Sus scrofa: one gene and its partner. The protein of the gene in region 2 purifies or fractionates together with the protein of the main gene of each other region. This does not show direct contact. Links are inferred from orthologs where the notes say so. Each region holds a gene or a part of one and is shown on either strand. Other genes may lie near its edges.

Region 1 (3,742 bases), on a different chromosome or scaffold from region 2:
GTGTTATGCACATTTTTCTCTTTGGTTATATAAGCACCAAGCACCTACATAATATCCTTGATTTTGGCTCTTGGCCAAACACCTACATAATATCCTTGATTTTGGGTCTTGGCCAGCAAAAATATTTGCTATCTGGCCCTTTATAGAAAAAGTTTGCCAGCCTCTAGTCTAAGAATACTATTTGGGATACAGGAGACAATCTATAACGTCAGATGGAGAAACTAAGTAACAATTTAAAAAATGTATCTAAAACACCCCAACACCGTTTTCAGAGTAGGGAGGTACCGCCAACTAAGTGTTAATGTTAACAATGGTAATCCCAAAAGCGTTCAGATTGCGAGGGAAGTCACAAGTCTACGTTTCTTTAACGTTTGCTGTTCCTTGCTATCTTTCCCCGCAATTAGCAAGCGTTAACTTTACCATCGTTTTATTTCACTTTTTTTGGCCGCCCCGGGGCATATGGGCCCGGGGATCAAATCTGAACTGCAGTTGTGACCTACGCTGCAGCTGGGGCAACTAAGCCGGATTCTTTCACCCACTGAGCCCGGCCGGGGAATCCAATCTGTGTCTTGGCGCTGCAGATCCCGTTTCGCCACAGTGGGAACTCCTCAAAGTTTCATAAGTAACATAACTGCGTATTTCAAGGTGCATCTTTCTGACCGCGCAGCCTAGAAGGCCCGGCACCCGCTTGAATGACTACACAGAAGCCACGCGAGCTCTGAAAGGCTTCTGAAAACGGAGGGAGTAGAGGTGGAGGTGTCCCCTCGCCCTAAGTCTTCTTTATCAAAGAGTTGGATTAAAGAAAAGAAGCACAGCAGGAGAAACTTTTGAACCTCGATAAGCCCTGTTCCATCCCCGCCACGCCTGTAGCCTCCCAGTTCTACTTTTACATCCGGACGAGCCCGGGAGGATGTGACCGGCGCCGCAGCCCAGGCGCCTCCTGGACGCACCTCACCTCGTATTTTCCGCACCGCCGCCTCGCTGGGAGAAAATAGGGCACTGACTAGCGCAGTAACTCCCCAGGGCCCCTAGTCCTACGGAAGAATCTACTGCCCAAGTCCTCGCATTGCAACACGTAACGTGGGAAAACGCCCCAAGAGCAGCTAACGGCCGCCTGCACCGTTCCAGCCGTTCCCTCGCGTCGCGCTACAGAAGTCCATTCCGCACATGCGCGGGAAAGCCCCTGCGCGTGCGTGGTGCTCGCCCCTCCGTGCGTTCGGCCCCTCGCGGCTTCTTCCCGCCTGCCTCGTTTCCTCACTTCCGGGGTTTCCTGGCGACGGCCGTAAGTGGCGGGCGGAAGCAGCGCGCGAAGCCAGTCGTAAAAGGCTCCCTCGCGCCACTTCCGGCCGGCTTCCGCAGACGGCCCTGGTGGGCGATCGTGAGGCGCCGGAGGACGTTCCCCGCGGCTGGAGCCATGGAGATGCCGCTGCCGCCTGATGGTGAGGCCCAGCCTGGGCTCGAAGGCTGTTTCTCTCTCCCCGGAATCCCCTGTTGGCCTACCTCGCCTCCCGGGGTCCCCGGGCCTAGGAGGGGGCGGGGCTCGGCCTCCGGGGTCCGCCTGCGGCCTCTCCCGCGGGTTCCCGCATTCTCGGCGCGCTTCTGGCCCCTATCGGGACCCGTACAAAGGCGGCCTTTCCCGGACCCACCCCTAGGGACCCCCGGCCCAGCAGACGCGGGCTGGGACGACAGGGCCCCCGAATTTGGGCGGTTCTCGCTGACGCCCCGCGTGGCCTTTTCTCCGTCCTCCAGACCAGGAGCTCCGAAATGTCATCGACAAGCTGGCCCAGTTCGTGGCTCGGAATGGGCCCGAATTTGAAAAGATGACGATGGAGAAGCAGAAGGACAACCCAAAATTTTCGTTTCTGTTCGGAGGAGAGTTCTACAGTTACTATAAGTGCAAGTTGGCGCTGGAGCAGCAGCAGCGTGAGTTCTCTTGCTCTCCGGCCGTCCTCTCCAGCGATTCCTTTCTGATTCCATTTCGGGCTCTGCCACAGACCGCCTTTTTTTAAATCGCTTGTTCTTCTGGGAATATGGATTAGCTCGGTCTTCACGGTCCCATTCGCTGTTCCCGGGGCTCTGCACCCGTGCGGCAGCTGGGTCCCAGTGTAATGGAGAACGGGGTTATCGATCCTTTTGCTGGGCTCCAGATCAGGGTTTACTCTTGTTTTGCAAACGTGATGACTGAGGTCAGGAAGGTAGTGACTACTTCAGCGGTTTCCAGGGAGGAAGTAGTAGAAGCCAGATTGGGTGAGACCCTTGGGGCAAATACTGTCCAGCGAGGTTTTTGTGCATTTTAAGATGGTTGTAGCCTAGATCAAAAATGAGTTGTTTCGTGGGTATTAGTTCTTGGTATCAAAATTCCAACCCTCTTCTAAAAGAGCTTAAGATGGGGTTGGTTAACACAGTTGGTCTCTGAATAACAGATAATCACCAGGTAGTAAAGATCCCTGAACCCACATCTGCCCTGTTCAGTAGTGAATCCTTAGCTTCCAGATATGTTGTGTTCTAGATTGCCAAGTAGATGGACATTGAAAGGTGGATGCTCCCTGAACTACAAGTTCCCCACGGCCAACCGGGCCTTGTTTGGCATTGTTGTGCCTAATAGGTAGCACGTAGTAGGTGTTCAATAAAGAGTTCATAGGACACAGCAAAGGTTCAATGGCTTGAACAAGCACAGTGTGTTTTGAGAGCGGAAAGAAACCTCAGTCATCACGTTTGCAAACACAGTGTGTTGTGAGCAGCCCAGCATGGCTGGAGTTTTGATGTGTGTCGACAGGGTCGGGTTTGATCTGGAGTGGTAAATGCCAGGGAAAAGCTTGGGTTTTCTTCTTTAGTCTGGTGTTCTTCTGGTGCCTGTGTATGTTTGAGATGAGGGTGGAGGAGGTCTGTTGCCTGAAAATGTTGGGTTTTGGGTGACTTGTATGGAGGACAGATTGGAGGGAGCATTGAGTGGAGTCTAGGACCAGTTTGGTGGTAAAATCTGAATTAAGTTGGCAGGTCGAGTAGAGAATGTGGGCCTGGGGACAGTTGGGGTTAAAGGGAAGGGCCAGTTGGATATTGAAGCAGGTGGCATAATTGGGCAGGGGAGGACAGTGTTTTGGCTCCGGTTCCTGTGAGGTGAGAGATGCTTTCCCTGCAAGGGGAGCCTATTCCCATCCTGGAAGGTCAGAAATCAGGACCTTCTTGGGACGTGGTGCTATAATGGGGGTTGGGATGCTTCTGGAAGGGAATGGGGCTCAGAAAGTGTTTTATGTAGGTAACTGTTGCCATTAAAGTTCAAGTCATTTAGCTGATGGGAACTGACGAGACAAGTGTGTTCAGGCTGAGGAACACGCCTGAGGAGGGGTTGGGGAGAGAGGGGACAAGAGCTCAGGGTGCCTGGAGCCCAGAGAAGGAGGGATTCTTGGGGTGGCCAGAAGGGAGGGTGCAGAGCAGGTAGGGCTGGTTTGCCAAGGATTCAGGAATTCTGGAGGCTTTTGGGGAGCTCTTGAAGGGTTTCAAGACTATGTTCTGGAGCAGGGTTAGCCACTGTGTAGCCCGCCCTTCACCCTGGTAGTCTGAGAAGATTGAGACCCTTGACTGCTCTAGCATGTTGCCCCACAGACTGTGGTAACGGACTGGTTTTTGTTTTTAACAATTTGCTGTGAAAAGTACAGTTTTGCACAGTAGAAACATGAACCATGAAATATCAAATTGCTTTAAAAGTGCCAAAACGCTCTCTTGGCATTTCTGTGCTTGTTTA
Region 2 (3,742 bases):
AGTGCCATTCCCTCAGTCCTTCCCTATTTTGCAGCCTTGGGAAGAGAAGCAAGAAAATGTTGGATCTGACTCTTTTATTCCAAGTCTTCCAAAGTTGGGGAAGCTGTCCAGTCCTCTCTGGACCTGGAGAGATTTTAATCTCTTTGTGATCAGATAAATGGGAGAGTGGCGGAGCTGGCCACCCTGCTGAGGAGGGCCATTCAGAGCTGGTTCCTGTAATAAAGTGATTTAATAGATCTAAAGAGGCCAATTCCCTTCTTTCTCCCACAATTACTTCCTGTGGGTTATCATTCACATATGTAAATGAGACAGGGAGGGGGGCAAAGCCACCAGCCAGAATTAGATGTCAGATGGGGAGGGGGTAAAATGGGGGGGGTGGAGTGAATTAGCAAAGCAAGGGGGTAGTCAAGCATCCTGCTGCCAACCTTTCCGGCAGAAAGACGTTCTAATAGCCCAGTGACCCCCAGCGTTTTTAACTGGTGGGTCCCCATCTCCCAGCATCCTCTATCTCCCTTGTTCCCCCCACTCAGCGTTCTTGAGGGCCAGGCTCAGAGATTTCCCTGCAGCCACCAACCAGTCCACCCAGCATCTCCCTTCCCCACCCCTCCCCCTCCAGAATACCATCCCTCAGGCTCCAACCCTTAATCCCCACATCCTCCTTTCCCCTCCCCCACAGCTCCGAAAGCTAACCTCCCTGAAGTAACCCCTCCATGCCCGGCCTGGGTGTCAACCTATGGGCCTGGGATTAGCAATTTTCCTCCCAGGTCCAGTCTCAAATCTCCAAAGGTGGAGGGAACCCAAGCCACAACTTCCTTTGCACGGTTGTTATGTGAGGCTGGTGTCCCGGGACCACAGGAACGCTTCTAAGATATTCAGGAAGGGGTGGCCGGGGAGGAGGGAAACCTGAAGTCTCTGGCTCCTTGTTTGAGGCTGGGAATGTTAGGACAGCAATCAATGGCTGTCTGGGGCCATAAATGCCAAGCCGAAGAGAATAGTCCAGAGGCTAGCCTCCCTCCACCCCCTGGCCCGCGACACTGAATTTCACCCCCACTGTGCTGCCTTGCTTTAACTGAGAACTTGGGGTTGCAACCCAACTCCCTCCCAGCCTGGCCCGGGGAATCTAAGGCCTGGCTCCTTGGGTTTTCTTTCCCAATAGGAAATGGACAGCAAAAGCCCAGCTAGTGAACTGTGCACCTGAGACGTGGTGTCCTCTTGAGCAGCTTTCAGACCCCCAAATTGATCCTTCAGGATCTGCCAAACCCACCCTGGCATCAGGGCTTGAGTGTTGGGTGACTATCAGGGTGAGGAGACCCCGCTGACTTCTCAGCTTTACCCCGAAGGGACCCGGAGAGGTTTCCCTCCCTCTCTCCAGGTCGGCTCCGCTCCGACCGGGCATGTGCTTCCCTGGCCGGCCAGCTTGCCCTCCCCCCACTGGCAAGCACAATACAACCTTAGTTCTGCCACATGGGGTCACCTCCCTGCCCCCTGCCCAGGGGAAAGAGGTAACAGACACGTGGTAAGCCAGAGAGGCTGCCGGAAGGGGCTGGGGGTGCTGATAATCGATTGTGCCTCCAACTCCCGTCTGATTAGAGTCAGTCGGGGACTCAAAACTGGGGTGCCACGGCAAAGATGAGAACTCACAATGAGAGCCCTTGATCTCCTTCAATCCAAGAGCCGAGCTGACCGCCCACCCTTGGATACGCGCGCCAACATCCCCTTCCCGCGGCAAAGTTACTAGAATCGGTCTCACCTGGTGCACAAAGACGTCCACTGGGGGGTCGAGCGCGACCCCGGCGCGGGCGGTCATGGACAGGAAGCCGAACCCCATGCGCACGTTGAACCATTTACAGATGCCGGCACCGTGGAGCAGCTGCGGCTCCTCGGCTGCTCGGGCCGCGTCCTCCGGCGCCTCCTCCGGCGCCTTGGCGCAGCCACCTGGAGATTGGGAAGGCGCTCAGCTGGGGGGCCACGGAATTGGAGGACCCTATCAGAGACCCGGCAGAGAGACCCTAGCGTCCAGCCCGCCGGTAAACACCCAGGAAGCTGTGGCTACCAAGCGGCCGGAGAGAGAATCCCTGTCCCGGCTGCCTCCTGTGCTCCCCAACCTTACGCTGAAGCCAGTGGTGCCCCGAAAGTTTTGCTCGTCTTCCCACACACAGCACGTTACCCGGGGACAGTCGGCCGGACAGGCCCCTCCTCTTCTCTTCCCACCACCCCCGCCCCCGGAGCCTCAGCCTGCACGCCGCTGGGACACCAGGGTTCTTTGCTCCAGAGATGGCCCCCCCGAAGCAGGAACCCGCAGACTTGGGGTTCTTCGGGTGGTCTGGGGGACACTTCCCCACCTCCCTTTTATGTGGCTTTTGGGAGCTCCTGTAGCCTAAGTTGTCCCCAGGTCGAACCTGCAAACTGCTGGTTTGACACAGAGCCCATGGTAGTCGGCTGAGCCCGCGGCCCCGGGCCCCTGGTCGGGCGGCTGCTGGCCCCAGAGAAGTCCGGAGGCAAAGGGGTGGCTCGGAGAAGAGGCTGCTACATCTTCCCCAGCACAATAGCGGTGGGAGGGCCCACGGCTTTTCAAAGGCTCCCAAATTCTAAAAGACAATGACCCAACCCCCCGCGGGCAGCCCCCCTCCCCTCCCCTCCCTCTTCTTTCCCCTCCCTTTCCCTCAGGCTCCAGCTCTGGCCCTCCCCCACCACTGCAGTCTCTGACACCTCTGGGGTGTCCCTTCTCAGAACCTTAAGGTTTGACACCCCCTCACACACACACACACACACACACACACACACACACGCACACATCTGGAGATGGGGGCCGTCAGCCCTAAGAAGTCTTGAGTACCCGGGAATTTGGGATCCTGCACTTTAAGGACTCAATGGGGGTCCCTAAAGCAGCATACAGGTGGGGGGGCCTGTGGAGGGGGTAGTTTAAAGCCACGTGACTGCTCCCACACACACTCACACACCACCCCCACCCCCCGTGCAGATAATTATACATTCCAGAGAGTTGGGGGAGGGAGGTGTGAGCCTGGCAGCGCTGGCCAATCAGAGACACAAACCACCTGTCAAGGGAGAAATGGATGAGCCCTCCCCCTCCCCCAGCCCTTGAGCGCCCCTCCCCCTCCCTTCCCCTTCAGGCCTCCTAGCTGACCCGGCAGCTCGGCGCTGACCCGTTCTCACCCCCCACCTCCGTGTGCTTAGATAGACCTGGAGTTCAGGACACTAGGAAGCCTGGGATGGGGAAGCCGGGAGGGGCGGGGGAGGCAGGGGGAGGCGGGAGACCCAGCGGGACCGATCTCCACTCCTGACCTAGGCGCTGCCTCTCAAAGTCTATCTCTGACTGAATGTCTCTGCCTTCCTGAGTTTCCAACTGAGTTTTTCTGGCTCTTTCAAAGCACTCCTAATTGAGTCTGTGTAAAGAATCCTTCCTTGTTTCCTTCCAAATCTGTGTCTAATATTGACCCCACATCGAGTTCCCTGAGAGAACAGAAAGAACCCTAAGAGGCTTGCAGTGTGCTCCTCTCTCCACCAGCTGCCCTCATCCTGCCCACTTCCATCCTGTCCCTATTCGTTGCTGAGAGTGACTAGGTAGATAGGTGGGTGGAGGTATTTACCCAAAACACCGACTCTCAGGTTCCCAGACCCTCTTCTTTTCAGAGTCCCATCCTAAAGTGTGCTCCCTTCCCCATAGCGAAGTTGGTGGGGGAACTGGAGTAGGGGATCTCATTTAAAGAGGTAGCCTCCCCCT

What was found. The genes of interacting proteins can lie anywhere in the genome.
Region 1: the proteins of LIN28A (region 2) and CHERP purify together in Homo sapiens (co-immunoprecipitation; 3 studies listed by BioGRID and IntAct, with this or other methods). This does not show direct contact. The link is inferred for Sus scrofa from reciprocal best matches to the Homo sapiens genes LIN28A and CHERP.

The regions. Positions count from the first base shown.
Region 1 is NC_010444.4:61,061,666-61,065,407, forward strand, and holds the start of CHERP (calcium homeostasis endoplasmic reticulum protein), read left to right. Parts: upstream 1-1,294; 5' UTR 1,295-1,414; coding exon 1,415-1,439; intron 1,440-1,749; coding exon 1,750-1,923; intron 1,924-3,742. UniProt on the Homo sapiens protein: Involved in calcium homeostasis, growth and proliferation.
Region 2 is NC_010448.4:83,804,866-83,808,607, reverse strand, and holds the start of LIN28A (protein lin-28 homolog A), read right to left. Parts: upstream 2,431-3,742; coding exon 2,400-2,430; intron 1,936-2,399; coding exon 1,751-1,935; intron 1-1,750. UniProt on the Homo sapiens protein: RNA-binding protein that inhibits processing of pre-let-7 miRNAs and regulates translation of mRNAs that control developmental timing, pluripotency and metabolism.